Linked DNA regions of Sus scrofa. The protein of the gene in region 1 binds, or shares a complex with, the protein of each later gene. Links are inferred from orthologs where the notes say so. Each region holds a gene or a part of one and is shown in the gene's direction. Other genes may lie near its edges. The genes, in order: MBTD1, RUVBL2, MEAF6, MORF4L1, EPC1, MORF4L2 and ING3.

Region 1 (4,894 bases):
CATGCCACGGGAACGGGCCTAAAAATGGCAAAAAAACACACAAAAAAAATAATAATAAATAAATAAAAATGTCCAGATGATTTCTACTTGCTCCATTCCTGGCCTGTGATCCTCCAAAGCCCTACAAACCCCAACTCACGAGACTGTTTCTTTTTCTGCCTGGGAAGCTGTCACCCAGTTCAGCATTTTTTCAGTAGTATTTCTCTATCTCCCAAGTAGATTCTGCAACCTCTCCCATAAGCACCCAAAGAAGGTTCTGGCAATCAACTAATACTTGATAGGTCCATATTCACTTATCAAATAGAGTAATTTTCAGTAAGGCTTTGCTTGGCCATCCGATGTAAAATTTCATAGGCCTCCTCTACACACACTTATCTCCCTTTCTCGAGTACCTTTATTTTTTCTCTTCAGCACTTCACTGACATACCTGAACTTTATCTTCTGCCTCTACCACTAACACAAAAGCGCCAAGAAGGAAGGGATGTTTTCCTGCATTGCTGCTTCTCTTCCAGTGCCTAGAGAATGCCTAGAAATAGCCTATCTTGGAATAAAAAACAGGTTCAGGATTTAAAAAAAAAAAAAAAAAAAGAGGCAAAAAGTGTGCAAAAAATATTATGCAGGGTTCTCATTGCCAGGAAAAGTATCTGGTGCCAAACTGGCCCACAGAGATTTACTGGCTAGACGAAGGCAAGATCGTTCTCAAAAGCTAGCTAGTCTATCATATGGATAAACTGTTAAAACAGACTCTCAGGCCCGTGCCCATGAATTCTTACTCCACAAACGAGGTGGAATCCCCGAATCACAAGATATTGAGGCAGGCTACTGAACGGCCAAGCGGAAAGGAGCACCGAGTTTAGGAGATGATGGGGTTGAGCTGCGAAAAATGCTCAAGACTTTCAACACAGATTAGTATGTATTGAGCGCCTGCTAGATACCTGGGAAAGCGGTTCCCAAGGGAGTGAAGCGCTGTCTCCGCCCTCCGGAGACTTTCAGAGTGGCACCCCTGGGCGCCCGCGTTCCCGGCTCCCTCCCACCTGAGAGCTCCTCTGCGCCGCAGGTCTCCCAGGCTCCGCCCCTGGAGACTCACCGCCCACCGAGCGCCCAGCCCGCGCGCCTCGGCCTCCCTCACCCGCGGGCCCCGCAGACGCCGCAGCAGCGCGTCCTCGTCGTCCAACACATCGCCGAAGACCAGCTCCTCCAGGCACTGCTCCACGGCCGGCTTGTCCTCCTCCAGCCTCAAGCGATTCCGCTGCCGGAGCCGTCTCTCCTCCTCCGCCGCGATTGCTATCGCAGCGGCCGCTGCTCCCGGCGGGGCCGGCGGTTGCCGCTGGGATGAAGCAGCAGCCTTTCGGGGCGGCCCAGCCCGCCCCAGTCCAGCTCTCCGGCCCGGCTTCACTTGGGTCTTCCGGCCCGGTCTCACTCCGGGTGTCCTGTCCGGTCTCGCTCGGCCCCTCCGTTCCGGCGGCATCCTTGGGTTTGAGAAGGAACGCGGGCGCTCACGTGGAACCTCACTGCGCATGCGCCGAGGCCCCTCGCTTTCCGCTGCTGCTGGGGCTGCCGGAGGCCGGAAAGAGCCTGCAACGCCTGTGAGCACGTGACCAACACTCTCTCGCTCTACGTAACGCCCACTCCCCGCAAGAGCTCCTCCCCGTGTGGGAGTTCCTCCGGGAGGACCAATCTTCCGAGTAGAGGGGGAAGCGTCGTAACTGGAGTGGGAATTTTCTTCCAACACAACTTCGCAGCTACAAGTGATTGAAAGGAACGCAAGAATGCTAGGGTATAAACTGAGGTGACGGGATGAAATTTCTCCTTTCCTTCCTGACTTTTAACCACTTGACTTACACGAGCCCCAATTGCCTTTTCCACCCCTTCGTCTTGGTACGGCCCGTGGAGTACGGAGCCTGCAGAGGGTCCCATGCTGGAAGACTGAGAGGAGGGTATGTAGGGAAGTGGGCCAATCGGGGCGCGGGTCACGGCGCAGGCGCGCTAGGGAGGGAGGGCTATGCTAATGTTGTTGATATCCTGGGGCCACCCGAGTTAAAGGGGGGAAATCCGGGGGCTGCCGCAGCTGCCACCGGTCTGGGCCCATCCGGGGCCCCCCCTGTAGTCGCCATAGTTCTGGGCAGAGGCGTCTGCCCCCAGCTCGGGAGGGGGCGCCGCGGGCCTGGGGAGCACGGACAACCCCTACCCATGAGGCCCTGATGGAAAACACAAAGGATCTGGTGAGAGCCGAGCGCGGCAGCTGCTTTGTGTGCCAGGTGGGGGGGACGCCCGCAGCTCCCCAACCTCAGGAACCCCTGCAGCTCCCTGACCCTGCTCCCTGGCCTGCTTCTCCATCCCACGCCCCCTTCACCTCCGGAGTCCCCCTCCCCCCTGCCGGCCGTTAAACGATGCGGGGAGAGGGGGTTTCCCCTCCCCCCACCCGCTCAGCCCCGGACTGTTCGGGGTTCTCTCTCTCCCCCCCCCCTCCTCCGCTTTCTGGACGAGAAATTTTAGAAGAAAGTTATTCTTTGCGTCCCGCCCCCCTCCTCCTTCAGCTCTGGCTGCGAGGGGGGCAGACTGGATTTGAGAGTTCCTTTTTTGGCCGCTCAGGGTCGCAGAGTGGACGCCTCACCTCTCCCAGGGGGGCAGAGTTTCGGTGCTTTGCAGGGGAAGGCGCTCTCCGCTGTGGGGCGAGTGCTGCGAGGCGTTTCGCACGTGGAGGTGGAAAAATTGAAAGGGGGCGGGGTGGGCACGTGTGGGAGGGAGAGGTGGGAGTGGTGTTTGGGAAGCTGCCGACGAGGCAGCCTATTTACAAGGGTCCTAAGTCGGAGGGCTTTATGACCGTCGCGTTCCCTTTTGTGAAATGAGAATCCTAACATTTCAGAGTCGGAAGAGACAGTAGAGGTCACCCAAGGCAGCCGGCCCCCGTGCAGCCTCTCTGAAAAGTGGTAGGTAGCCTGGCCTCTGCCCCAACCCTTACAGACGCGCTCGCTGCTTCCCAGGAAAGCCCTTTCCGTTCACTTCTGATTGTTGCTGGCCTGCCCTTATGAGACTCATTAATGTCCCTGTTAAGTGGATTCCGTTTTTACTTCTCATATTTTCTCTCACATCCTCCTCACCCACCCACCGTTCACTGGCCTATATTTTGTGTGCCAGGAAAGCAACAGCAGGGAAGTGAAGGAAGGCGGGCTGGAGAGAGAGTGAGGGCTGTCTGAAGACTTGTCTAGATGAGGTCAAATGAGCTGGCTTCGATGTGTGAGCATGGTTGATATTTTTCTACAGGAAGCTTGAGAAATATGATCTGGGGATTTCATGGTTGTTTTCTCTAAGTTGGACATTTCAAGACCATCTCCGTAGTACTCCTGTTTCAAAGCACATGTCTTGTTGCCTCAATCACTTAAGAATGCCTAAAATTGCCTCTTGGTAGAGAGGAGAACGGAAGTACTGCAGGCCCCCTCCCCACCTCCCTTTGACCTGTGTGCTTCAATCAAGCTTCCTTCTCAGCGCCCTCCTTTCACAGTACTTTCGTTTATTTCTTTTTTTCCCTCCAGTTTTTTATGATATTTGAGTTTTTTGCAACTCTTTAACATTTGCGTAGAGTTTGCAATATTTTTTATGCTCCTTGCATTAACCTGTTCCAGGGATTATCACTCAGAAGTTGAGATAGTTCAGTTCTACTTTTGTCACTTAGCATTTTTTTGATGTTCTTCATTTGGTGAGCTATGTTGCTTCCAAAGTAGTTTTATTGGCATAGGAATCTTGGGGGCACATGTTTTCCTCTTCCTAATATGGTTAAGTGAGAGTGAAGACATAACAGATAAAATGTCGAAGTAATGAATTGGTTGTAAAAGCCAGAGAGTAAATTTCACTTTGAACTCCCAGTCTGCTGTTTAAAATGTTAGAGCACAGAAATTTTTGTCTCTCCCCCTTTTTATGACTCGGAGACTGTTTCTCTGCTCTAATGTATTTACACTGGGTTTTTTTGTTTGTTTATTTACTTCAACACCAGTGAGTGTTGAGAAAGAAAATAGTTGTCCGTTTTTGCACCACCTCCTTCTCTGAATAACAAGAACTTCTATTTATGTAGAAGCCCATACTCCAAGGTTCTGGTGCACAGTATGGCAAAAACTGTCTTGAATAAGTATCTGTTCTTAAATATCTGATATTGGACCATATCTTTTAACTGTCCAATTTTTAACTTCATATACACTTTGACATGTGATATTTTCTCTAAATCTAGTCACTAAGATTTAACCTGAGACTGAATACTAGGTACTGATAAAAGTTAATGGAACTGTGTAATTGTGTCCTGAAAGTGTTAATTAATGTGGAGTTTCAAGTTCCTATTCCCTTCAAACGTGAACTGTCATGATTTAAGTTGAGTGACTTTGGAGACATTTGCATTCCAAACATACTAGACAGGAATGACTGGTTTTATTTTTAAAGAAGACACTACATTGTATTTTCATGGCTGGTTATATGTTGACTTAATTCCTGTAAAAACCTTCTTGGTTGTTCAGAGGCTTCAAACCCTTCGTTACCTTGGAATTTAAATTGTTTTAAATGTAACACAATAGTCAAAGGAAGGTAAAACTATAGCTTAGAAGTGAAAACAACATATTAATGTCATAAATACTAAGCCGCTAGGTTACCAAAAGCCAAGAGTTCTCAGTGGTTTGAATGACCACATCCTAAAATTAGACAAGTCACTTCATTTGGTTGCTTCTTGCTTCTGAGTTTTTCATCTTTAAAATGTTTGCTAAATAAGATTTCACTTTTCCACATTTATAACGTTAAGGTAGGTGAGGTAAAATGTCGTCTGTCCAGGATTTGAAAAACGAAAGATAAAAACATCAGGCCCATAAAAGAGGACGTACTTAATAATGGTTAAACAAGGCTAAGATATGCTTTC
Region 2 (4,246 bases), on another chromosome or scaffold:
GAACCCTGCCCCTGGTCCCACAGACCAAGTTCGTGCAGTGCCCGGATGGGGAGCTCCAGAAACGCAAGGAAGTCGTGCACACCGTGTCCCTGCACGAGATCGATGTCATCAACTCCCGCACCCAGGGCTTCCTGGCCCTCTTCTCAGGTGAGGCCGTCTGTCCACCCACCCAACCCCCGGCCCCGAGCTCCCTCTTCCCACCTGCCAGTGCCCATGGCGTCCCCGTCTCCTCTGTATCTTTTTCTCCTTCGGTGTGTGGTTTGCCCCCTCCCCACTCCTGCCTGAGTCCTTCTCTCAGGTGGTCTGACGGGGGCGCCCCTGTACCCCCTCTGCCTCTGTTCTTCCTCTCTGGGGCCCCTCCGACTCCCCGGCCCTCATGTCGCGTAGCCACTCCAGTCTGGGTCTCTCTTCCCTCTGTGCCCGGCCTCCCATCTCTCTGGGTCATCGTCCCGCCTCCGGCCCTGGATCCCTGTCTCCTCTCTGACACCCCCCACAACCGGCAGGTGACACGGGGGAGATCAAGTCAGAAGTCCGAGAGCAGATCAACGCCAAGGTGGCTGAGTGGCGGGAGGAGGGCAAGGCGGAGATCATCCCTGGCGTGAGTACCTGGCCGAGGCCACGGCAGGCGGCCCGCGGGGGTTCGCAGGAGAAGAGGGGGCGCGGGAGGTGGATTTCATGTCCCCCCCCCGATGGCCCCCAGGTGCTGTTTATCGACGAGGTCCACATGCTGGACATCGAGAGCTTCTCCTTCCTCAACCGGGCCCTGGAGAGTGACATGGCACCTGTCCTCATCATGGCCACCAACCGCGGCATCACCCGGTGAGAACGGGCGTGCTGGGTGGCAGGAAGGCCACAGGGTTAAACAGGCCAGGGCTGCGGAGCACCTCGTTGGGGAGCTGCGCTGCTGTAGTGGGCTGCCCTCGGGCGCTGGGGCCCGGGCGGCTGGCGTACTTTCCCTCAAACAAAAGCAGGCGAGCGCTCGGGGCTGGTGGGTGCCCAGCTGCACAGGCGCTCTGGGACCCAGCATGCTCTGTCTTTTCTTGTTCCCAGAGGCCTCAAGGTTACAGATTCCAAACTGTGTGCCCAGGCAGGCACGCGGGGTGCTGCAGAGAACACAGGAGTGCTGTGGGTGTTTTCAAATGTTTGAGGGACACCTCGTGACATGAGTCGGGTGCTCTGTAAACCACTCCAATTAAGTCACTTAGATCCAACTACTTAGGAATAAACAGAACAAAACTTATTCCCCTTGGCCCAAGGATGCTAAGGAAAAATTCCTGACAGAGTTCCCCTTGTGGCTCAACAAGTTAAGAACCCAACTACTATCCATGAGGATGTGGGTTTGATCCCTGGCCTCACTCAGTGGGTTCAGGCCATTAGCTGCAGTGTAGGTCGCAGATGGGGCTCTGAGCTGAGCCCGTGTTGCTATGGAATCTGCTAGAGTTCCTGCTGTGGTGCAGTGGGTTCAGGATCCAGTGTTGTCTCTGCAGCAGCGTGGCTTTGATCCTCAGTCTGGTGCAGTGGGTTAAGGATCCAGAGTTGCTGCAGCTGCAGCTCAAGTTCAGTCCCTGGCCGGGGAACTTCCATATGATTCGGGTGTAGCCAAAAAAAAAAAAAAAAGGAATCTGCTGTTTCCTGGCACCTGCCATGTGCAGCAGGGGACAGGACTGTGCCAGTGGAGCTCTGTGTCAAGCAGAGAAGCGGGACCTTGAGCCGCTAATCCCAGACATAGATCTCTAGCTAAATCCAGCCCAGCTCTAGAGGGGGAGGGATGCAGTCAGGGGCCGGCTGTGCTGTCAGGCGGTGACGCCAGCCGGCCGGGAGCTGAAGGCCAAGCGAGTGGTATTTGACCCAGTGAGTGGGCCATGGCGGAAGGGGTGGGGAGGGCTGTCCGGGTAAGGGGAATGGGGAGCCGGGCTGTTAAGAGCACCACCCTGACCGCCCTCCCTTCCCCCTCCTGCCCAGGATCCGGGGCACCAGCTACCAGAGCCCCCATGGCATCCCCATCGATCTGCTGGACCGACTGCTCATCGTCTCCACCTCCCCCTACAGCGAGAAAGACACAAAGCAGATCCTCCGCATCCGGTGCGGGTGGGGCTGGTGTCCACCCTCTTTGGCCCATGGGGACCCCGAGGTCTGAAGGGGAGGTGGCTGGGCCCGCCAGAAGTCCTGCTGGGCTGGGCATCGAAGCAGTGGCCTCTGAGGAGGTTGTGAGGGTTGGAGAAAGGCGGGGGGGTGTTGGTGACACAGCTGGGGGAGGTGAGGGGGAGCCCAGGAGTGGGAGGGTCCGGAGGCCCACCCCAGGTTTAGGCTCAGCCGGTGCCTCAGCGGCCCTTGGCACTCAGCATCCTGTGCCTCTGAGAGTGAGACTCCACGTGGCCCCAGGAGGTGCAGCAGCGCCCCTTGGGGGAGGGCTCTGCGGCAGAGTCTGCACCCTGGCTGACCGCCGCCCCCGCCATAGGTGCGAGGAGGAGGATGTGGAGATGAGCGAAGACGCCTACACGGTGCTGACCCGCATCGGGCTGGAGACCTCCCTGCGCTACGCCATCCAGCTCATTACAGCCGCCAGCCTGGTGTGCCGCAAGCGCAAGGTCAGCGGCTGAGGGCGCCCTGGGGGCTTGGAGCAGTGAGTGGAGGGCCCGCTGGTCCCAGGGCTTTCCCTGGGCCACAGCCTTTCGTCCTAGGACTTGGGTTTCAGAGGCAGGGAGCTTCCGGTCTCTGCGCTTGGTTGCTGTGTCTCCTGGCCGGACGCCCGGGAGGCGCCGGGAGGCGCCGACTGAATAGCTATTGGCTGCACTCCGATGCCGTGAAGTCCCTTTTACAGATGAGCACACCAGGGGTGGAGAGGTGGGGGCCGTGGCCGGGCGGTGGCCCTGCTGGGATTTGACCCCAGGCGACCTGGCCCCAGAGTCGTTGCTCCCGCCCCGGGGGGGCCCCCCCTCTGAGGTCTGGCACCCCCATCAGGGCACGGAGGTCCAGGTGGACGACATCAAGCGGGTCTACTCGCTCTTTCTGGACGAGTCACGATCCACGCAGTACATGAAGGAGTACCAGGATGCCTTCCTCTTCAACGAGCTCAGTGAGTATCGGCCCCGCCGCCCACCGCCGCCCGCCCGCCGGCCCGCAGAGGGAGGGGAGCCCGGCCTGGAGAGCTCGGGCCCTGCCCTCTGGGCCACACCGACCACCTGGCCTTCCTTCTCCCCACAGAAGGCGAGACCATGGACACCTCCTGAGCCCACGTCACCCTCTCCCCCACCTCCCCTGTTTTCTACCAGAGTTCTGACACCGTGACTTTGTATAAAATGGTTCCGAAACTGGGCCCACTGTGTGGGTGTGGGTGTAGGTGTGTACATACGCACGTGCTCACACGCCCCAGCCCCCAGAATAGACAACCCCAGAGTGCAGGTGGAGCAGCCTTTATTGGTGGGGGGGAGCATCTGTGGGCCTGGGAGGCTGAGGCCGGGAGTCCTTAGAGGAAGAGGAGGCCTGGGAGTAGGGGGCGGTCACAGGCCAAGGGTTGGGCTCTGGGACCCCCACAGTCAGAGCTGCTGAGGCGGCAGGGCCCGCAGTGACAGCTGAGAGCCACGGGGAAGGAGACCGTTGGGTCCACGCCAGGCGGGCAGCCAGGGAGGCGGATGGAGGCAAAGCTCAGCTCTCGGTAGGTGCACACCGGCTGGGGCACGGGTGGCAGGGCAGCCGGCAGCACCCGCACCTGTAGGGGGTGGGGGCGGGGCTTGGGTGTCTACCTGGGGCCCAGCCCTCCCCCAAGGTCCCCCCTCAGTACCCCACAGACCCCAGACTCAGGTGTCCAGGGGACCCTCTGTGTTCTCCCACCCACAGGCCCCACTCTGACTCCAACTCCCCAGCCTCTGCCTAGAGGGGCAGGCCACCCTGCCGTCCCGGTGCCACCTCCTGTCTTCTGTGGGCCTGGCCCTGAGTAATCCACCCGGATCTGTGGTGGAGGCGGCACCCGTCTGCAGGTGCCCACCCTGCATAGCTCACCATGCTGGGACAGTAGCCGGCACAGATGCTGGTGGTAAAGGTGATGCAGACAGGGCAAGCCTCATTCTCAGCAGCCAGGGTGGCGTTGATGGGCCGGCACAGAGGCCGCAGTGGCCCCCTGGATGCCCACACCCCGGCCACGCTCAGCAGCAGCCACAACAGCAGTCCCTGGGACAAGGCCAGTGCCTCAGGGCCAGCCTGAGACCTCCGCCCCCAGCCCTTTCCCCACCTCCACCCTCTGCATGTG
Region 3 (4,257 bases), on another chromosome or scaffold:
AAATATTTTTTCCCATTCTGTGGGTTGTGTTTTTTTTTTATCCTTTTTTTAGGTAACATTGGTTTAAAACATGTAAGTTTCAATATACACAACATTATATTTTAATTTTATGTATATACGACAGCGTGCTCACTACTACAAGTTTAGTTTCCTCCTGTTACCGTGTAGTTGACCTCCATTACTCATTTTTTTTCTTTTTTCTTTTTTTTTTTTTTTTTTTTTTTTAGCTATTTCTTGGGCCGCTCCCGCGGCATATGGAGGTTCCCAGGCTAGGAGTTGAATCGGAGCTGTAGCCTCCGGCCTACGCCAGAGCCACAGCAACTCGGGATCTGAGCCGCGTCTGCAACCTACACCACAGCTCACGGCAATGCTGGATCGTTAACCCACTGGGCGAGGCCAGGGATCCAACCCGCAACCTCATGGTTCCAGGTCGGATTCGTTAACCACTGTGCCACGACGGGAACTCCCCATTACTCATTTTGCCCTTACCTCCCCACTGTGGGTTTTTTACTTTTTTTTTTGGTGATACATGCAGCTCAAGAGTTTTATATGAATGATATGGTTCACTTTACATATACTTTCTTCTGTCATGCTTGTTTTTGTGGTCTTAGCTAAGAAACCTTTGCCTAATCCAATGGATTCTAAAAGTTTTATAGCTCCTGCATTTAGGTCTATGATTCATTTCGAGTTATTATTGTCATTATTTTTTTGGCTCTGCCGGCACCATGTGGAAATTCTCAGGCTAGGGATCGAACCTGCGCCGCAGCAGTGACCCCAGCTGCTGCAGTGATAATGCCAGATCTGTAACCCACTGCGCCACAAAGGAACTCCCATTTCAAGTTATTTATTTATTTTTTTCTGTCTTTTCTAGGGCCTCACCAGCCATACATATATGGAGGTTCCCAGGCTAGGGGTCTAGTCGGAGCTATAGCTGCTGGCCTACGCCAGAGCCACAGCAACTCGGGATCCAAGCTGTGTCTATGACCTACACCACAGCTCATGGCAACCCCATATCCTTAACCCAGTGAGCGAGGCCAGGGATCAAACCCGCAACCTCATGGTTCCTAGTCGGATTCATTAACCACTGAGCCACGATGGGAACTCCATCAAGTGAATTTTTGTATATGGTGTGAGATAGGGTTGCAGGCTTCAGTGATCTCAGCACCATTTGTCAAAAAGACTATCCTTTTTTCATTGAATTGTCTTGTCACCACTGAAAATCAGTTGATCATAAATGTAAGGATTTATATCTGGACGCTGAATTCTGTTCCCTTGACCTATGGTCTGTTCTTATGCCACTACTACACAGTCTTGTTACTCTAGCTTTGTGTGATAAGTTGTGAGGTTCTTTTGCTAATTTTTACATGAAATCTGTTTTCCTAAACTTCAGGACAGGATTGATCAGTTTATTTTATCTAGCTTCATAGTTTTAGAACTCTTCTCTTTTCTTGGTTTCATGAAGTCTTCAAAAATAGGGTTTCATGATGGCTGAGATCCCTTTTGCTTTCTCTTTGCTTTCTCCTGCTTTTTGGGGCCTGCATCTTTTAGCTCTCGTATCCCTGTGCTACTCAGTTTGGAATCTTTCCCGGCAGTTTATGATATAAAAACATAAAAAGAAGAAAGCTGGTCACTGGTCCTGCTGTTCATGTAACCTCTTTTAACAATTTTTAGAAATAGGTAATGTACACATTTAGGATTCTTCAACAGTTCAGTAAAGTGAAAGTCTTCCCCCATCCTTTCGTATTAAGAGTTTCAAGAATTTCCTTTCAGAAAGAAAAAGTATACATTTACCAAAATATATGTAGTTTTTCATGGGTTTCCTGTCGTGGCTCTGTGGTTAACGAATCTGACTAGGAACCATGAGGTTGCAGGTTCGATTCCTGGCCTCGCTCAGTGGGTTAAGAATTCGGTGTTGCTGTGAGCTGTGGTGTAGGTTGCAGATGCAGCTCAGATCCCATGTTGCTGTGGCTCTAGCGTAGGCCAGTGGCTACAGCTCCGATTAGACCCCTAGCCTGGGATCCTCCATATGCCATGTGAGCAGCCCTAGAAAAGGCAAAAAGACCAAAAAAAAAAAAAAATATATATATATATATATATATGTAGTTTTTCTTAAAAAACATGTGTTTATATAAATTGTTCTTGAACTTGCTTGTTTAGTATATCTAAAGGATGTTTTAAATTGGGAATATGTATCATCTGAAGGCTATTATTACCATTAAAAATATCATTCTTAAGGCTTCTGAGAGTAACTTAGGTAATGGGGCTCTTCTCTTGGGCCTGTTTTCTTGGTGGAAGTTAGGATTCCTGTGTGGTTTAGGGAAGGAACCAGGGCCAGCTGTAGGGCGTTTTCCCAAGGTCATCTCTCACCTCCCAAGATTTATGTGATGTTTTCTGTAATGCTTCTCTTATAATTATGAATCCCATTAATGTATCCTATGAGGTTATCCTGGTTGTGTGGTCCATTCTCCCAGCTGTCCATCATCTGTTGCCTCTGGTTACACTGTTTCAGGTTATAGGTTTTTCAGGACCTCTGGTAACTTTGATGCTTTGACTGTATGTATCTTCCTTGTCAATTGGTCCTTGAGGATAAGGGATAGTCTTCTGTGTATTAGGGCTCAGAAAGCATCTTTCCTGACTTGATGGACAGGCTGCCTGAGAATACTGATGACGCTTTGGGGGATTTGTGTTTATTCCCTCCAGGGGAACCAGGAAGTGGGACGGAAAGTGATACTTCTCCTGACTTCCACAATCAGGAAAACGAGCCCAGCCAGGAGGACCCTGAGGATCTGGATGGATCTGTGCAGGGAGTGAAACCTCAGAAGGCTGCTTCTTCTACTTCCTCAGGGAGTCATCACAGCAGCCATAAAAAACGGAAGAATAAAAACCGGCACAGGTCAGTGGCAGGGACCACCTTTACCCATCCCAGCCCCACACACTTAGAGCTTCCATGGCCGTTGCTGTGAAGGGACTTTACTGAAATAAACATTCTTTGGGGTTGGTGCAGTCTTTCTGTTGCTGATGGGGAGACATTCATGTGGTCCAAGGGAAACAGGCTCATTTTTCTCTCTCTAAGGGAGGAATTGGTGGGTATCAGAGTAACTCCGAAGGAAGACAACTTTCTCACTGTTTCTAGTGTAGACAGATTTGATTCCATGACACTTTTGTTTAATGCAGTGACTCTGAAATCTTTTTAGAGGAGGAAAAGGGAAGTAGAATGGAATCTCTGTACTAGCATTTGGAAAATGCCACTAGTATGTATCGGGAAAGGGCAAAGTGGGATAAGTCTTTTGCTCTTAATGCTGATCCCTGCCTATTCTTATTCCCTGGAAGATGGAGAAAACTGATCTGACATGCCTTTTTTCTTGTTAAATACAAGTTTTTTGATTCTGATTTTTAAATTTTTATATATCACTACAATATACTGATTTTAGTATCACAGGAACAGTCTAAAGGCTGTAAGATATGAGAGCACCTTTCTAGATAATGTTGGTCTGCTGGGTTTTTTTGTTTTTGTTTTTTTTGTTTCTTTTTTGCAGTGCGTAATGAGATAGGAATCACATTGGTGGGCAGAGATGTCAGGGGACAGCCAGAGAGGTCACGTGTCCCCCTGCTTAGGGTTAGTATGATAGTTCCAGGGCCTATTAGCTTAGATAATTGGAAATTATACAGCTGCACTCAGAGAGGGTAATGCATAGTTTCTGGAGGCAGGATTCTTGTCCCCAAACCTTCTTCTGAGAGGCATGAAAACCAGATGCTCAGTAGGCTGGCTTTTTCCTGCCCCACTTAGGAGCCTACCTGCCGAGGATATGAAAGGGGGCGTGCAAGGACTGGGTGGGGTTCCGTGTCCTCCAGTTTGCTTCTGGGCTGGCTTGTCCCATAAAACATTCCTTCACACTTGCAGGGTGTTAATGTTAGCTTGGTGGCTGTGGCACACAGGGATAACAGAGAATTGACTCTTAACGGGTGTAAGCCTCCTTGGTATCAACTGATTCTTTAATTCTTTTAAGAGCTTTTCTTGTCTGGTGGTGGTGGTTTTTAGACTGTAGGAATAGTGTATTCTCCAGATAGTGACTAAGGACAGCTGCTTCACATTTTTCTGCAAACCAAAAATCACATGCCAGTCTCATAAGTGCAGTAAGAAAGAGCCAACATTACATACCTTTTTTTTTTTTGGGTAAGGCTATAGTGAATTTGGTCACTGTGAAAGGACTGATGCTACTAGCTTAATCATAAACAGCAGAGAAGCATACTCTTAAA
Region 4 (4,257 bases), on another chromosome or scaffold:
GAAGTTCATGTTGTGGCTCAGTGGAAACAATCTGACTAGCATCCATGAGGACACAGGTTAGATCCCTGACCTTGCTCAGTGGGTTAAGGATCTGGCATTGCCTTGAGCTGTGGGGTAGGTCGCAGATGCAGCTCAGATCCCGTGTTGCTGTGACGTAGGCCAGCAGCTACAGTTCCAGTTTGACCCCTAGCCTGGGAACCTCCATATGCCTCGGGTGTGGCCCTAAAAAGACAAAAAAGAAAGAGATTGTGGAAATACTTGATGTAAAATGCTTGTATTTTCTGAGAGTACTGCTTGAAAATAAACTTTTTTGTTAGGTTGTTATCTAGTGATACAAATAAATGATGGGTGCACAGTTTTTTTGTTTTTGTTTTCTGTTTAGGGCTGTACCTGCAGCATATGAAAGTTCCCAGGCTAAGGATCAGATTGAAGCTGCAGCTGCCACCCTACATCCATTGCCACAGCAATGCAATTTCCCAGCTACATCTGCGATGGACGCTGCTGCTTGGGGCAACAACGGATCCTTAACCCACTGCAGGAAGCCAGGAATCAAACCTGTATCCTCATGGATACTGGTTGTGTTCTTAACCCACTGAGTCACAATGGGAATTCCATAAGCTGCATAGTATTTTGTTTTTGCTTTTGGTGCACTTTGTGTATTACTCCTTGGAAAAAGAATTTTTTAAATGGCACTAAATATTGGAGATCTTTATTAATATTTTTGTAGACATTGAGGAATATTAACAAGGATGTGGGGGGTTTTTTTGTAGTTGATTCACTATGTAGATAAATACATGTAATTTTGAAAATTGTGATCTTTAGTAAGCATTTAGAGAAGCCTTTACATAAACTCATACAGAAAGAAGGATGAGTTACTCAAATACACAGCAAGTGTGTTGTTAGTGCAGTGTACAAAGTGCTGTGGATCATTGTGACTTTGGGAGTTAATGACAAGCTCCTTTAGAAAATTCTGAAATTCTTTTTTGCTTTAGCAATATGTAAAACTTTGGAATGTTTGGCCTTCAGTTACTACCCTAATAGTGATGTTCCTCAGAGCAAAAGATGTTTCATTTTTCTGTAGTTCCCCAAGGGTTTTCAGCTCCTGACATGTGAAGGAAATTCTAAAATTGATGTGGTTTTTAGATCAAGGTCATTATTTAGATGCATTTTATATTGGAATTTGCAAGATTCTAAATGGAACCTTGTGGTAAATAAAAATTTGCTAGCTCCCTTTAATTTAGAATTGAAACAAATACAAATAGATACATAAATAAAAGTAAGATCCTCATTTTTTGTTCAATTCCTTTTAGAAAATTGTATAACTAAAGCCCAATCTCCAAATTGGAATGTTCTTAAACTTCAATAAATAGTATATACTTTCTCAGAAGCACAATAGGTAACATTTCTAAAAACTTTATTGGGGAGTTCGAGTTATGGCACAGTGGAAGCAATCTGACTAGGAACCATGAAGTTGAGGGTTCGATCCCTGGCCTTGATCAGTGGTTAAGGATCTGGCGTTGCCATGAACTATGGTGTAGGTCACAGATGCGGCTTGGATCTGGCGTTGCTGTGGCATAGGCCAGCAGCTGTAGCTCTCATTTGACCCCTAGCCTGGTAATCTCCATATACCACGGGTGTGGCCCTAAAAAGGGGAAAACTTTATTGGAATTCACTGACACAGACATTTAAATATTCCATTTATAAATAAATCTTAATAAAGTTTAAGCTAAATTCTACACCTAGTTACTGAGATTACTTTGTACTATGCTGTCTGTATCAGAAGTGCTGTGAGGCCCAGGCGCTCTGAAAAAACTTTGAAGAGACGTGAGGATATTGTAGCCCTTTTTCCTGTTCCTGAAGGAGCTCCCTCAGTACACCACCCCCTCCTGACCTCTAGGTAAATGCATGTTTTAAAGTTTTCTCAAGGAAATCATGTTGAGGGTTGCATTTTATTATTTATTCTACTTTTGGCTATCTTAGAGGTCAGAGGTGGGAAGTCATTAAGTAAAAAACTGAGAATACATCTAATAGTGTCAATAAAGGAGCTCCATCAGCAGGAGAAAAGAATCTGCACAAAAAGTTCAGCATTCCCTAAGAAATAACCTGGCCTTTGTTTTTCCCTTTGGAAAAAAAAATCACATCAGAGACCTTGCTTTGAACAAAGTCCTACTATATAGTACAGGTAATTGTATTCCGTATCCTGTGATAAGCTGTAATAGAAAAGATTATGAAAAAAAATGTGTATATATATATATATATATATATGTGTGTGTAACTGAATCACTCTGCTGTACAGTAGAAATTAACAACATCAACGATATGTCAATAAAATAAATATTTTAAAAATACCTTGTTTTGAAGTTCCTTGTGGCTCAGTAGGTTAAGAATTTAGTGTCGTCACTGCCGTGGTGCAGTTAAGATCCCTGGCCACATGCCCCAGGCGAGGCCTAAAAAAATTCCTGGGCCAGGGATTGAACCCAAACCTCCACAGCTACCCAAGCCGCTGCACTTGGGTTCTTAACCCACTGTGCCACAGTGGGAAGTCCTGAAGGAGCTTTTCCAAGTGACAGAATGCTTTAGCAACTAGATATTTTAAGAGAGTGGTTGGTTCTACCTTTTGTTATTTAGAAAGGCATTCTTGTGGCTATCTGTTGGAAGTAGGTGTATTCGTGAGTGAAGGTTTAAGATGATGTGGTTGGAGTTCCGTGTTGTGGAACAGTGGTTAACAAATCTGACTAGGAACCATGAGGTTGCAGGTTCGGTCCCTGCCCTTGCTCAGTGGGTTAACGATCCGGCATTGCCGTGAGCTGTGGTGTAGGCTGCAGACGCGGCTCGGGTCCCGTGTTGCTGTGGCTTTGGCGTAGGCTGGCAGCTACAGCTCCGATTCAACCCCTAGCCTGGGAACCTCCATGTGCCGCAGGAGCAGCCCAGGAAATGGCAAAAAGACAAAAAAAAAAAAAAGATGATGTGGTTTAATAACTATTTTAACACTTGGGGGAGGGGAGAGCATGTGGAAGTTCCTGGGCCACGGATCCAACCCAGGCTGCAATTAGCAGCCTGCACCACAACTGAGGCAATGCTGTATCCTTAACCTGCTGTGCCACAAGGGAACTTCCTGTAACACTTCAATATACAGTCTTAGCTGAGTTGATCTAGGTGGTATTAGAGTATTGTAGATACATGTGTCTGACATACCTTTGAGTGTTTATTTTTTGTGTCAAACTTTCAAGTGTTTTACATGTATAATTTTCATAATGATCCTATGAGATAGGTACTGTTACTCCTCATTTTATATGTAATGAAACTAAGACACAGAGAATTACATAACTTTGTAACAAAGTTAACCAGTTTTAGTTCTTTAATTTATTTTTTATTTATTTTTTTATTTTTTGTCTTTTTTGCCATTTCTTGGGCCGCTCCCACGGCATATGGAGGTTCCCAGGCTAGGGGTCGAATTGGAGCTGTAGCTGCCGGCCTACGCCAGAGCCACAGCAACGCAGGATCCGAGCCGCGTCTGCAACCTATACCACAGCTCACGGCAACGCCGGATTGTTAACCCACTGAGCAAGGGCAGGGACCGAACCCGCAACCTCCTGGTTCCTAGTTGGATTCGTTAACTACTGCGCCATGATGGGAACTCCTAGTTCTTTAATTTAAAGTCAGCTTATTATGGATTCCTGTGCCTTATTTTTTTGAAATTAAAATTCATTTATTTATTTATTGGCCACCCCTGCAGCATGTGAAAGTTCCCAGGCCAGGGATGGAACCCAAGTCACAGCAGTAATCTGAGCTTCTGCAGTAAGAGCACTGGATCTTTAGCCTGCTGCACCACAAGGAAATTCAACATTCTTTTTGATATCTTTATACTGTAAGGATAATTGCTTAGGGGCTCTTAGGCTAATGCCTTGCTCTTGTGCTTTTTTTTTTGGACTCTCAGGGCCGAAGATGTGGCATAGGAAGCTCCCAGGCTAGGGGTCGAATTGGAGCTAGATCCTAGCTGCGTCTGTGACCTACACCATAGCTCACAGCAACGCCGGATCCTTAACCCATTGAATCAAACCTGCATCCTTGAGAATACTAGTCAGATTTGTTTCCGCTGCACCACAGCAAGAACTCCCTGCTCTTGTGCTATTTTAAAGAACAATGTGAATGATCTCTTTTGGATTCTGGCAGTTTAGATTTGGAACGTTGCTTTTCAGAATACGTTTATTGCCTTTTGATAGAACAGATTTTCACTTTAGTTGAAAGTGAATTTGT
Region 5 (4,257 bases), on another chromosome or scaffold:
TGTGTTATTTTTGGGCATACCCACGGCATGTGGAAGTCCTCAAGCCAGGGACTGAATCTGAGCTGCAGCTGCGGTCTGCACCACAGCTCTGGCAACACTGGATACTTTAACCCACTGTGCTGGTCCAGGGGTTGAACCCGAATCTCTACAGCAACCTGAGCTGCTGCAGCTGGATCCTTAACCATTGCTCCACAGCAGGAACTCTCAATTTATTTTAATTAGGAATGTTGATTAGAAGTGGGATGTAGGTCAAAATGAAAATGAAATACAGTGCAGTAGGATAGTATATTCAGTTCCACAAATACTTGTTGGGTTCCTGTGGGCCAGATGCTGTATTAACCTTGAAGGATGGCAGATTTGGGTCAGCCAGGGAGTCTCCTCTTGTACCTATGACTCATCACTGCGAGTGATGCAGGTTTTCTGAGGCCTTTTTTCCACTTGAATAGAGTGAAATCCAGATGCTTTTCAGTAGAACCCTGCGAGCAGTTGGCATGTTTACTGTCCCTGCACTGGAGGTGCAGAGATAAACGAGACCCAACACTTCTTCTCAAGGAGATCAAACCTGTTTCAATGCTTAACAAATAGATTGTAAAGTATGTGTAAAAATGGTACAGAAGAAGGAGAGCCGTCTAGAACAGGAATTTCTTGCCTTGGTGCCACAAGCTTTTAGGGACATTTGAATTGTCTATAATTTATACAAAATCTTTTATGTTTATACCTCCTGTTTTTCTGGGGAGAGGGTTCATAGCTTCTAAAAAAGATAAAAGTGGTTAGGAGAATTACTTGGTGGAAGGAGGACAGTCAAGAAAGGATTCCACTGGAGTTAATGTCAGGTTGAGTTTTGGAAAGAATAGTCATTTGCTAGGTGGACAAGCAGAAAATAGCACATGGAAAGGCCTGGAGACCTGAAGGAATAGCATGCTATTTGAAATGTATGAAATTCGATGTTGCTAGATCATAAAGTACTGGTGAGAGGGCCAGGCTGGGTCCAAAAGGACCTGTTAATTCTAAGGATTTGGACTTGAGGGTCATGAGAAGGTAGGAGGAGGATCAAAGCAAGGGGAAGATGTGAGGTAATTTTTGATACCAAGCTTCTTATTTTACTATCAAACTAGTTTAATGTTGATAAATAATTGGGTGACATTTGATGGTATAGTATAAAGCAGTGGTTCTTGCCCCACCTCCCTTTTTTTTTTGCTTTTTAGGGCTGCACCCGTGGCATATGGAGGTTCCCAGGCCAGGGATCTAATTGGAGCTACAGCTACCGACCTACACCACAGCTCACAGCAACACCAGATCCTTAACCCACTGAGCGAGGCCAGGGATGGAACCTCAACCTCATGGTTCCTAGTTGGATTCATTTCTGCTGCACCACCCCAGAAACTCCACTTGCCCCTTTTTTGACAGTCCTAGGAATACTTCATATTTCTCTCACCATGACAATGATTCTCATAAGGGGACAAACCTCACTGAGTGACAGCTCTTACTGTTATTGGCAGTGGCTTCTAACACTTCAGCTTTAAATAGCACTCCCCAAGCTTTTGGTTAAGTAGTTAAATAAGCTATAAAATAGGACTTAAATATTCTAGAAACATCTTACTTAAAGATCTCATTCTTTTATTAAGTGAGATTATATGAAATTGCTGATACTTTATCATTTTTGAGCTACAAAATTTTCATGTAGTTCAACCCAGTGTAGTTAACAGTCTCTTTATGTTCTTAATAATGGGCTTCTAGTTTGTTTGCTTTGGGGGGTTGTCTTTTATCACTTTTATCATAACAGTAAAGATGATCTTAAATTTAATGAGCTTAGATTGTGAGTCTGAAAAAAAAAATCTTTCCTATATCTTTTAGAAGTTATCCACACATCTGTGGAAGGTTTTTGTCGTGTATTCACACAGTAAGTGATTGCTTATGGTTTCTTCTGTCAGCTTTTAGTTTGGATGCTGAACAGCCCGATTATGATTTGGATTCTGAAGATGAAGTATTTGTGAATAAACTGAAGAAGAAAATGGACATCTGCCCATTGCAGTTTGAGGAAATGATTGACCGTCTAGAAAAAGGCAGTGGTCAGCAGGTACAGCTTCATTGTGTATGCATTAAGTGTGTGTGAATATGTCTATATAAATATCTCTTTATATGGAAACAGCGTGATGTTGGGTGGGGCCGAGAGAGCAAGCTCTGGACAAGCATGAATTCATATCCCATCTCTGCCCATTACTAACCTGTATGACCTGCAGTATGTTTCAATTTCTGTGCTTCAGCTTCCCCATCTGTAAAATAAAGATGATAGACATTCCAGGGTCGTTAGGAAAATTAAATAACATAGTTAACATAAAGCATCTAGCTCATTGGCTGGCATGTGTAACGAACTCAGTGTGTTTGCCACGGTTAATACTGTTATTTTGATTATTGTCCTTTAAAGTTGCAGAAGTGCTTTGAACCTTTTATTTGTATTATGTGAAAATGACATAATGGTTTTACATTTAGCCAGTCAGTCTGCAGGAAGCCAAACTACTGCTAAAAGAAGACGATGAATTAATTAGAGAAGTTTATGAATACTGGATTAAAAAGAGAAAAAACTGTCGAGGGCCGTCTCTTATCCCATCCGTAAAACAAGAGAAGCGAGATGGTTCCAGCACAAATGATCCTTATGTGGCTTTTAGAAGACGTACTGAAAAAATGCAGACTCGAAAAGTAAGAGATCCTGGGGACATTTTTTGTAATTTTTTTTTTCGATGTAAGAAAATGTATATATAATTATGAATATCTCAGTATCTGAAGGTTGTGTTTTAATTTGTGTGTAGACAGACTTTTTATACAGTATAATGAAAAATATTAATTTAAAATGAATCAACCTTAAGGTTCATTACAGATCTATTAGTGATATGTGTTACTCTTAATCCACGTTAAAAACCATAGTCAAAATTGATTTCCTCGTGATCCATGTTCCCTTTCAGTGTCTTTAAATTCTAATCTAACCCTTCAAATATATATTTATATATTCCTTTTTTTAAATATATATATATTCTTATATTTCGGAAGCTATACTCAGAATGTCACTAGTTAGAAATGCTTATTGACATCAAACAAACAAATTTATATTTGCAGAATCGCAAAAATGATGAAGCCTCTTATGAAAAAATGCTTAAGCTGCGTCGAGATCTAAGTCGGGCTGTTACTATTCTAGAGATGATAAAAAGAAGAGAAAAGAGTAAAAGGGAGCTATTGCACTTAACACTGGAAATTATGGAAAAGAGGTAATGTCTGTTTTAACTGCATTAGAAATATGTATGTGGAGTTAATTTATTTCCTAAGCAGTTATCTGTAACTCCAGAAATATATTCTTTTAATAATAATTAGAGGCCATTGAAATGTGTGGCATGCTGTATATACTTTGTATAACTTTATGTGTTTTCTTCTATTTTTTTTTAAAGTGACTGGGTTCAGTAAAATTAAAATATGCCAGGCATTTCCATTTTGAAATGATATTCTTTTGCCTTTACTTGAGTTGTGTGCAGAGTTGTGAGGGAGAGAGAACATTTGTCATTTCTAAAGTTTTTATTTTATTCACTAGATGGAACTAAATTTTCTTAAAACACTTTGTGAGTTTTTTAAGCAGAAAAATACAAAAAGGGGGAGGAGGAAAGACCCAGCTGATCCTTCAAGGTGCACAATGAAAATTTCAAGCCTCGGTCCCCTAGTTCTTAGTTCCTATTCCCGAAGAAACCCACCATTAAATTCCTTATGGGGTGTTTCCATCGTGACACAGTGGCAGCAAGTCTGACTAGTATCCATGAGGGTGCAGGTTCAATCCTTTGCCTCACTCAGTGGGTCGGGGATCTAGCATTGCTGTGAGCTGTGGTGTATGTCACAGACACAGCTTGGATCCCGAGTGGCCACTACCGTGGCATAGGCAGCAGCTGTAGTTCCGATTTGACCCCCAGCCCGGTAACTTGCATGTGCTGCAAGTGTGGCCCTAAGCCAAAAAAAAAAAAAAATTCTTACGATTCATTCAGCCAAAGTAGTTTTATAGCAGAGGCAACTCAAAATAGTAGAAAGTTCCTCAGCACTGTTTTAGGCATGAATTTCAACATCTCTCCCAAATCTTTCACCAAAATTGCTGTGTTAAAATTTAAACCTTTGGGTTTTTCCTGCAGTTATCTGTTAATGGTGAGAGAAAGCTGTAAGCCAAAAAGTAAAAGAAAGAAATGATAGGAATTATGTCATCTGTAGTTTTAATAAGCATTCAGCAAA
Region 6 (3,792 bases), on another chromosome or scaffold:
CACCACTACTGAACATCTTTGTATCCATGTTTACATGTGCAGGTATTCCTGCAAGGTACTGTTCTAGCTGTTCAGCCACATCGTGTTTATGAAATTCCTAGCAAGAACCATGAAGGCTAGGGGTGATTTGCCACATTCCAAAGATGAGAAGAGGCCAGTAGAGCTTACATAACTTGCTCAAATTCTCAACCAGTAAATAGCGGTGCCTCATTGAAGTAGAAGTATGTCTAACAGCAGGGCTCATGTATTTTCTCTGTTATCACAGTTGTAAACCACATGTTTATAGATTATTTTTTCTTTTTCCTCTATTTCACAAAAGTTTGTCTTCATTGCTGATGCCTCCTTTCCTTTCTAGGTTGTGTCTCCCACCTCATCTTTCCCTACCATCCCAGAAGATCTATAAGGTTCCATCTGGGAAAACACTAGAAGTTCTTGGAAGGGAAAGAAGGAAGAGGATTACGTAAGTCAAAGGAATTGTTTACCCTGTCATACCAGAAGAAGCACAGAACACTGTTTTTTTCATCTTTATCTCACTAACCCTCTCTGCTGCATTTTACAGTGTAGATCATCCGTTTTCCTTCTTGAAACTCAATTCTTTGGCTTAACAAAATAACATTCTCTTAATTCTCCTATGGCTGCTCTGACCATTTTTGTTTCATTTGGTGGTCTCCATCTCTCTGCTGACCCCTTAAATATCATTCTTTCTTAGGTTTTTTTCCAGAATTCTATGCTTGGTTCATCACTGGCTTTATCTCTCACCAATTTATCACCTCCTCCAACAAGCTACTGCTGAAAGTGGTGTTAGGTACCATTTCTTGTTTTCTATCCCCAAATATTCTGTGCCCATAACTATCACTGTACTAACCTTGTTTTATAGTTGTCACTTTGGATATTTGAATCCCTAGCGCCTAACATGGTACCTGTCCTGAAGCTAATAAGCAGTAATATATGATGACTAACTGAGTGGATGTATTAACCTATTTCCTATTATTTGATTACTGATTTCAAACTAACCATAAAAATTAGTGCTTTTATTCATAAATTACCCAGGCTTAAAATTGTGGAGCCACCTTTGACTCCTCCCTCTCCTTCATTTACCAAGTTCTGAATTCAGTTTCTTCTTACTCTGTGACAGCCTAGTTGAGGCCTCCCTGGACTTATACAAAAACCTTTGCTGTTACTCATTTTGCGTCCAGCAACCTAAATTTATCATTCTTGTTTCTTTTATCTTATCATTTTTCCTGTTCAGAAGTCTTTAATTTCATTTCTGCTGCCCTTTGTAGTTTAATTCTTTCTCTAAAATCATATTTCTGTCTTTAGAGTGGCATGGAAAAACTAATTTATGGGCAGGTCTGATGAGCGAGTGGGTGGGCTGAGAGTAGTGGGAGAGTGGTAGTGAGGATTAAAGAGAGAAGGAGGAGGTAGTAAATCACTTACAATTAATTGGTCCTGAAATAGAATTTGAAATCAGAATTCCAAGAGAGTAGTGTGTGTTGTGCTTTGGTGGGCCTTTATGAAGCAGTGTTAAAGGTCACCATAGAAAACAACCAAGTGAAATGCTTTATATATTACAGTGGTTGGAATAAAAACAGGGTTGAATGAGTTCCAGAAAGCAGGGTTCTCAAACTCGTGGACAACAATCTGCAGAAGAAGACAACTTCAAAAAACCAACTAGAAGCAATATGCAGAGAAGTAAGATGAGAGGAGCCTCCTCAGGAAAGAAGACCGCTGGTCCACAGCAGAAGAATCTGGAAGCAGCACTCCCCGGCAGGTGGGGGGGTCGCTCTGCAGAGACCCCCCCTTCGGGGTCCGTGAGGAAGACCAGAAAGAACAAACAGAAGACCCCTGGAAATGGAGATGGTGGCAGTACCAGCGAAGCACCTCAGCCACCTCGGAAGAAAAGGGCCCGGGCTGACCCCACTGTGGAAAGTGAGGAGGCATTTAAGAATAGAATGGAAGTGAAAGTGAAGATTCCTGAAGAATTAAAACCATGGCTAGTTGAGGACTGGGACTTAGTTACCAGGCAGAAGCAGCTCTTTCAACTCCCTGCTAAGAAAAATGTAGATGCCATTCTGGAAGAGTACGCAAATTGCAAGAAATCACAGGGAAATGTTGATAATAAGGAGTATGCGGTTAATGAAGTTGTGGCAGGAATAAAAGAGTATTTCAATGTGATGTTGGGCACTCAGCTGCTCTATAAATTTGAGAGGCCCCAGTATGCCGAAATCCTCTTGGCTCACCCTGATGCGCCCATGTCCCAGGTTTATGGGGCACCACACCTACTGAGATTATTTGTGAGAATTGGAGCAATGTTGGCATATACGCCCCTTGATGAGAAGAGCCTTGCATTATTGTTGGGCTATCTGCATGATTTCCTAAAATACCTGGCAAAGAATGCTGCGTCTCTGTTTACTGCCAGTGATTATAAAGTGGCTTCTGCTGAGTACCACCGCAAAGCCCTGTGAGGGTCTCCTGACCGCTCGCTGTTATGTCTGGTATCTGTAAACACTCTTTTTGTTCTTAGTCTTTTTCTTGTATAATTGATGTTCTTTAAAATTGTTCATGTATAACAGGGCTTATGTTTCAGTTTGTTTTCTGTTTTATTCTAAACAGAAAATAAAAGGAGTGCAAGCTCCTTTTCTCATTTCAAAGTTGCTACCAGTGTACACAGTAATTAGACAAAGAAGAAACATTCAGTAGAACATTTTATTGCCTAGTTGACAACATTGCTTGAATGCTGGTGGTTCTATCCCTTTGACACTACACAATTTTCTAATATGTGTTAATGCTATGTGGAAAAATGCCCTGATTCCTAGTGCCAAAGGTTCAACTTAATGTATATACCTGAAAACCCATGCATTTGTGCTCTTTTTTTTTTATGGTGCTTGAAGTAAAACAGCCCATCCTCTGCAAGTCCATCTCTGTTGTTCCTTAGGCATTCTATCTTTGCTCAAATTGTTGAAGGATGGTGGTTTGTTTCATGGTTTTTGTATTTGAGTCTAATGCACGTTCTAACATGATAGGGGCAATGCATTATTGTGTAGCCACGGTTTTCTGGAGAAGTTGATATTTTAGGAATTGTATTTCAGATCTTAAATAAAATTTGTTTCTAAATTTCAAAGCAAATAATTTGCAATGTGCCTTTCATGTCCCAGAGGTGGAGAAGTCAGCAGGCTTAGGCAAGATCTAGATGGTATTAAAGGAGAGAGTTCTAACTCCTAGTGAAAGAATTCCTTTTATTATTGGGTGTCGCATCCAGGAGTATGCCCTGTCGGGCCAGTCCCCTTCCTTTCCCCTCTGTGTGGCTTCTCAGGGTGGGATTGTTTTCTAGTGCTGCTTGTCAGAGCCACTTTTGTTCCTGGTGCTCCTGTCCTTTATGAGTTGGGCTGGTGTAATTGGATATACTGTAACAGTTCCTTATAGGAGTTCCTTTCATGGCTCAGAGGGTTATAAACCTGACTGGTATTCATGAGGTTGCGGGTTCAATCCCTGGCCTCACTCAGCAGGTTAAGGATCTGGTGTTGCCTTGAGCTGTGGTGTAGGTCGCAGATGCGGCTCAGATCCCACATTGCTGTGGCTGTGGCGTAGTCCGGCACCGGCGGTTCCAATTCAACCCCTAGCCTGGAAACGTCCGTGTGCCACAGGTGCAGCCCTAAAAAGAAAAACAAAAAACCCAGTCCCTCACATTTGTTCAGATCTTTGCTCTTTCCTTCCAGAGGAAGCCTAGGCAGCCGCCTTCAGTGTTATATCAGAAATACCTGGGAGTTCCCGTTGTGGCACAGTGGTTAACGA
Region 7 (3,029 bases), on another chromosome or scaffold:
TGAAAAAAAAATCACAGATTAGTCCTACTTGAATATATATTTTTTTGTTTACTGTGTCAGTCTAAGAAAACAGGTTTGCAGTTACGTTAATTATGTCATATTAATGCTAGAATATTTTTCCCCCAAATAGGAGAGTGTCCCTCAATGTGTTTCCTATTTTAAAGCTAAGGTCTCAGAAGGTGTTTCATTGTAGGAAAATTAGGTAAACCTTCCTCTCCTTTTGCCAAAGAATGCTGTGTTTGCTAGAATTCAGTTCACTTATCAGAGTGAAGAATTGGAACTTTTAGAACAATACATCCTTTCAGGAAGCATGATGCTAAGGTGAAGGCTCTCATGTGCTTATTTCCCTCCCATTAGTGTAGTATTTCCTACTGCTTTGCAGGTGTCAGCTGATAAGAGCCACTTCTGATATAAAAAATAAAGAAGGTTTGAAAGAAAAGAACTCCTATTTATTTTCTATGAAGTTTAATTGGGGTTAGAGATATGTTTTTATTGAATGCCATGAATATTTTTGTCTAGTAATTTCCATTCCCTTCTCACTGTCAGCCCCTTTTTGTCCATCTTTTCCTCCAGAGGGGTAACACAACTCTGAATGTCAGGATCTGCAGGTTAAGGCTAAGAGTTTTAAATGTTTAAAACAGTTTGAAGATTGAGCAGGGTTGGCTCATAAAAATGTGTACTTTCCTAACCAGCCAGGGTCCCAAGACGTTCAGGTAGAGAAAGACTCTCCTTCCACTTTCCTCTATAGACTCTCTTGTGGGTTGTTTATGGTTATTGCAAAACAGTAGCCCCCAGCCATTTCAAGAAGACCATTGTAAACTGTCTTCTCGGGCGGTTATTGAAGATGATGAGTGAGATTTCTGTGAATACCCTGTCAGACTCTCTGATCCCTCTCATTCCCAGTTGTGCTGTTCTCAGTCCTAGGATTTTGCACTTGTAGAGCCACTTCATATATTGAACAGCGGAGTTCTTTTTCTCTCCATATCTAGGAATAGATAGACCCAGAAAGAAACCCAGGGCATCACTTTATGTCTTTCATTACAGCTGGCTAATTTTACTTTGTAAGAACACAAATAAGGCTGAATATTAAATAAAATCTTGGAAATACATTTTGCCTTCTATGTAAGAGACCTGTCTCACTTCTTGTCCTTGTGAGTTGGTGTCGATGTACTCTTCAAATGAAAGTCAGTGAATTTGTGTTCGTTGAGATTATGAGAATAGATTATGTGAAACTCAGCTAAAGATGCATAATTTTCTATGTCTCCATTTCCTTATCTCTGAAACTTATCAGTTGGACTAAATCATCTCTAATCCAGCTCTTCGATCTGAGTCCACACATCTAATCATTAATATTTAGTTCCTGGGCACGTTTTACCATTCTTCCTAGTCTTTGACAAAAAGCTGTTTCTTTTCATGTTTGCTTTCTAGTGCCCTATAGAATGGTTCCATTATGGATGCGTTGGACTGACAGAAGCGCCGAAAGGGAAATGGTACTGTCCACAGTGCACTGCTGCCATGAAGAGAAGAGGCAGTCGGCACAAATAAGGGTGGTCATTTCATTTGAGGAAGAAAACAACTTCAACATTTTATATAGGACTTTAAAAAAGAAGAAAAGCGAAAGAAGAAACAATGCATTTCCAAGCACCCACTTTAAGGATTTACATAGACAATCCTATAAGATCTTGAACTTGAATTTTATGGGTTGTATTTTAATAATGTAAGTAAATTATTTATGCACTCCTGATGTGCTCTGAATATTATTCCAGTTAGCCTTGGATTATTTCAGTGGCCAACATATGCAGACATTTGTACTCCTCAACCATTTTCTCAAAGTAATGGGCATTCTATAATTTACACTTCAATGAATTCCAACGATGAAGATTTTAAGAAAAGTATTTTATATTCAACAGGTATGTTCTGCTGCATGTACTGTACTCCAGAGCTGTTATGTAACACTGTATATAAATGGTTGCAAAAAAAAAAAAAAAAAAAAAAAGACAGTGCTTCTAAAAAGAATTTAAGATAATGGTTTTTTAAATGCCTTTATAATAAGCTTTGTTTCTTTGTGAAACTAAATTCAGCGGGCTGAAGGAAATGGTTCATGTGATAAAGTGGGCTGGTGTCCTCTAGAGTACCTGGGTACATAAACAGAAACTCCTGTAGGTAAAAACTAATCTGTGCCATTAGTCTTTATATGTTTCTGCATCCAGATAGAATGCAGTTCATGAGGGTGGGAGGGGGAGGGGCTGAAGGGAGAGGGTGTTAAAGTGATACATTTTTATACCAAATGTGTTTATTTTTTTGTGCAAGTAATCCTTAAAATTGGAATTGTATTAGGTGTTAAAATAAAGTTTTTAAAAAATTACTTGTATTTATACTTTACACACTTAATAATGAAAATTTCTGAATTCCATTTAACTTCCAATTTTCATAATCTAAAAAGGACAGAGGCCCAGGACACAGAATGCTGCGTAATCTGTTATTTCTTTAATAATGCTTGGAACTTGTGATATGAAAATAAGGGAAAGACATTTTTAATGTAAATTTGAAATGCAAATGTATTTTTCTAGGACATCTCCCTGGCTTTTCCTTCAGTGGAAGGGACATGAAAGAAGTCTAATTACAGCAGACAAAAGGAAAATTATCGTTATAGCTGTTTTGACTTGAGGCAGTGTGGCCAACTTAAGAAACCCCCTGGACTGGAGCTTAAAATTCACTTCTATTTTTGATTCTACCACATGTTGGTATGACAGTTAATTCACATTTTGAGTCACTCTGGGCCTTATTAAACCAGGGTGATCCTGGCTTCAGGATGTCTATAAAGCACTCCTAACGTTTTATTCTATAGGTGCTATTTAAATTATAAATTTTGCATAGCGGAGGTTTTATTTAAGGTATAATACCGAATCTGGTCGGTAGAAAAATCCTTAAAACTTTAAAAATACTTATTATATCATATTTCTTTTATATCGAAACTTACTGAATCCATCAGATTTCTGCTTTAATCAAAACCACTTATGAGCCTCTTA

Evidence for each region.
Region 2: MBTD1 (region 1) and RUVBL2 share a complex: the UniProt entries of both Homo sapiens proteins name them as parts of the nuA4 histone acetyltransferase complex. The link is inferred for Sus scrofa from reciprocal best matches to the Homo sapiens genes MBTD1 and RUVBL2.
Region 3: MBTD1 (region 1) and MEAF6 share a complex: the UniProt entries of both Homo sapiens proteins name them as parts of the nuA4 histone acetyltransferase complex. The link is inferred for Sus scrofa from reciprocal best matches to the Homo sapiens genes MBTD1 and MEAF6.
Region 4: MBTD1 (region 1) and MORF4L1 share a complex: the UniProt entries of both Homo sapiens proteins name them as parts of the nuA4 histone acetyltransferase complex. The link is inferred for Sus scrofa from reciprocal best matches to the Homo sapiens genes MBTD1 and MORF4L1.
Region 5: MBTD1 (region 1) and EPC1 share a complex: the UniProt entries of both Homo sapiens proteins name them as parts of the nuA4 histone acetyltransferase complex. The link is inferred for Sus scrofa from reciprocal best matches to the Homo sapiens genes MBTD1 and EPC1.
Region 6: MBTD1 (region 1) and MORF4L2 share a complex: the UniProt entries of both Homo sapiens proteins name them as parts of the nuA4 histone acetyltransferase complex. The link is inferred for Sus scrofa from reciprocal best matches to the Homo sapiens genes MBTD1 and MORF4L2.
Region 7: MBTD1 (region 1) and ING3 share a complex: the UniProt entries of both Homo sapiens proteins name them as parts of the nuA4 histone acetyltransferase complex. The link is inferred for Sus scrofa from reciprocal best matches to the Homo sapiens genes MBTD1 and ING3.

The regions. Positions count from the first base shown.
Region 1 is NC_010454.4:27,523,206-27,528,099, reverse strand, and holds the start of MBTD1 (MBT domain-containing protein 1), read left to right. Parts: upstream 1-1,799; 5' UTR 1,800-1,937; exon of another isoform or gene 1,938-2,258; intron 2,259-2,866; 5' UTR 2,867-2,930; intron 2,931-2,939; exon of another isoform or gene 2,940-4,894. Other genes in the region: UTP18 (U3 small nucleolar RNA-associated protein 18 homolog), read right to left, coding at 1,130-1,519. UniProt on the Homo sapiens protein: Chromatin reader component of the NuA4 histone acetyltransferase complex, a multiprotein complex involved in transcriptional activation of select genes principally by acetylation of nucleosomal histones H4 and H2A.
Region 2 is NC_010448.4:54,260,177-54,264,422, forward strand, and holds the end of RUVBL2 (ruvB-like 2), read left to right. Parts: intron 1-23; coding exon 24-147; intron 148-503; coding exon 504-598; intron 599-700; coding exon 701-819; intron 820-1,962; coding exon 1,963-2,082; intron 2,083-2,458; coding exon 2,459-2,588; intron 2,589-2,961; coding exon 2,962-3,076; intron 3,077-3,204; coding exon 3,205-3,230; 3' UTR 3,231-3,316; downstream 3,317-4,246. UniProt on the Homo sapiens protein: Possesses single-stranded DNA-stimulated ATPase and ATP-dependent DNA helicase (5' to 3') activity; hexamerization is thought to be critical for ATP hydrolysis and adjacent subunits in the ring-like structure contribute to the ATPase activity.
Region 3 is NC_010448.4:93,564,697-93,568,953, reverse strand, and holds part of MEAF6 (chromatin modification-related protein MEAF6), read left to right. Parts: intron 1-2,700; coding exon 2,701-2,893; exon of another isoform or gene 2,894-4,257.
Region 4 is NC_010449.5:48,059,735-48,063,991, forward strand, and holds part of MORF4L1 (mortality factor 4-like protein 1), read left to right. Parts: intron 1-1,780; coding exon 1,781-1,897; intron 1,898-4,257. UniProt on the Homo sapiens protein: Component of the NuA4 histone acetyltransferase (HAT) complex which is involved in transcriptional activation of select genes principally by acetylation of nucleosomal histones H4 and H2A.
Region 5 is NC_010452.4:42,853,228-42,857,484, reverse strand, and holds part of EPC1 (enhancer of polycomb homolog 1), read left to right. Parts: intron 1-1,931; coding exon 1,932-2,077; intron 2,078-2,490; coding exon 2,491-2,697; intron 2,698-3,111; coding exon 3,112-3,260; intron 3,261-4,257. UniProt on the Homo sapiens protein: Component of the NuA4 histone acetyltransferase (HAT) complex, a multiprotein complex involved in transcriptional activation of select genes principally by acetylation of nucleosomal histones H4 and H2A.
Region 6 is NC_010461.5:84,553,104-84,556,895, reverse strand, and holds the end of MORF4L2 (mortality factor 4-like protein 2), read left to right. Parts: intron 1-355; 5' UTR 356-460; intron 461-709; exon of another isoform or gene 710-805; intron 806-1,574; 5' UTR 1,575-1,598; coding exon 1,599-2,465; 3' UTR 2,466-3,126; downstream 3,127-3,792. UniProt on the Homo sapiens protein: Component of the NuA4 histone acetyltransferase complex which is involved in transcriptional activation of select genes principally by acetylation of nucleosomal histone H4 and H2A.
Region 7 is NC_010460.4:25,947,423-25,950,451, reverse strand, and holds the end of ING3 (inhibitor of growth protein 3), read left to right. Parts: intron 1-1,428; coding exon 1,429-1,545; 3' UTR 1,546-1,996; downstream 1,997-3,029. UniProt on the Homo sapiens protein: Component of the NuA4 histone acetyltransferase (HAT) complex which is involved in transcriptional activation of select genes principally by acetylation of nucleosomal histones H4 and H2A.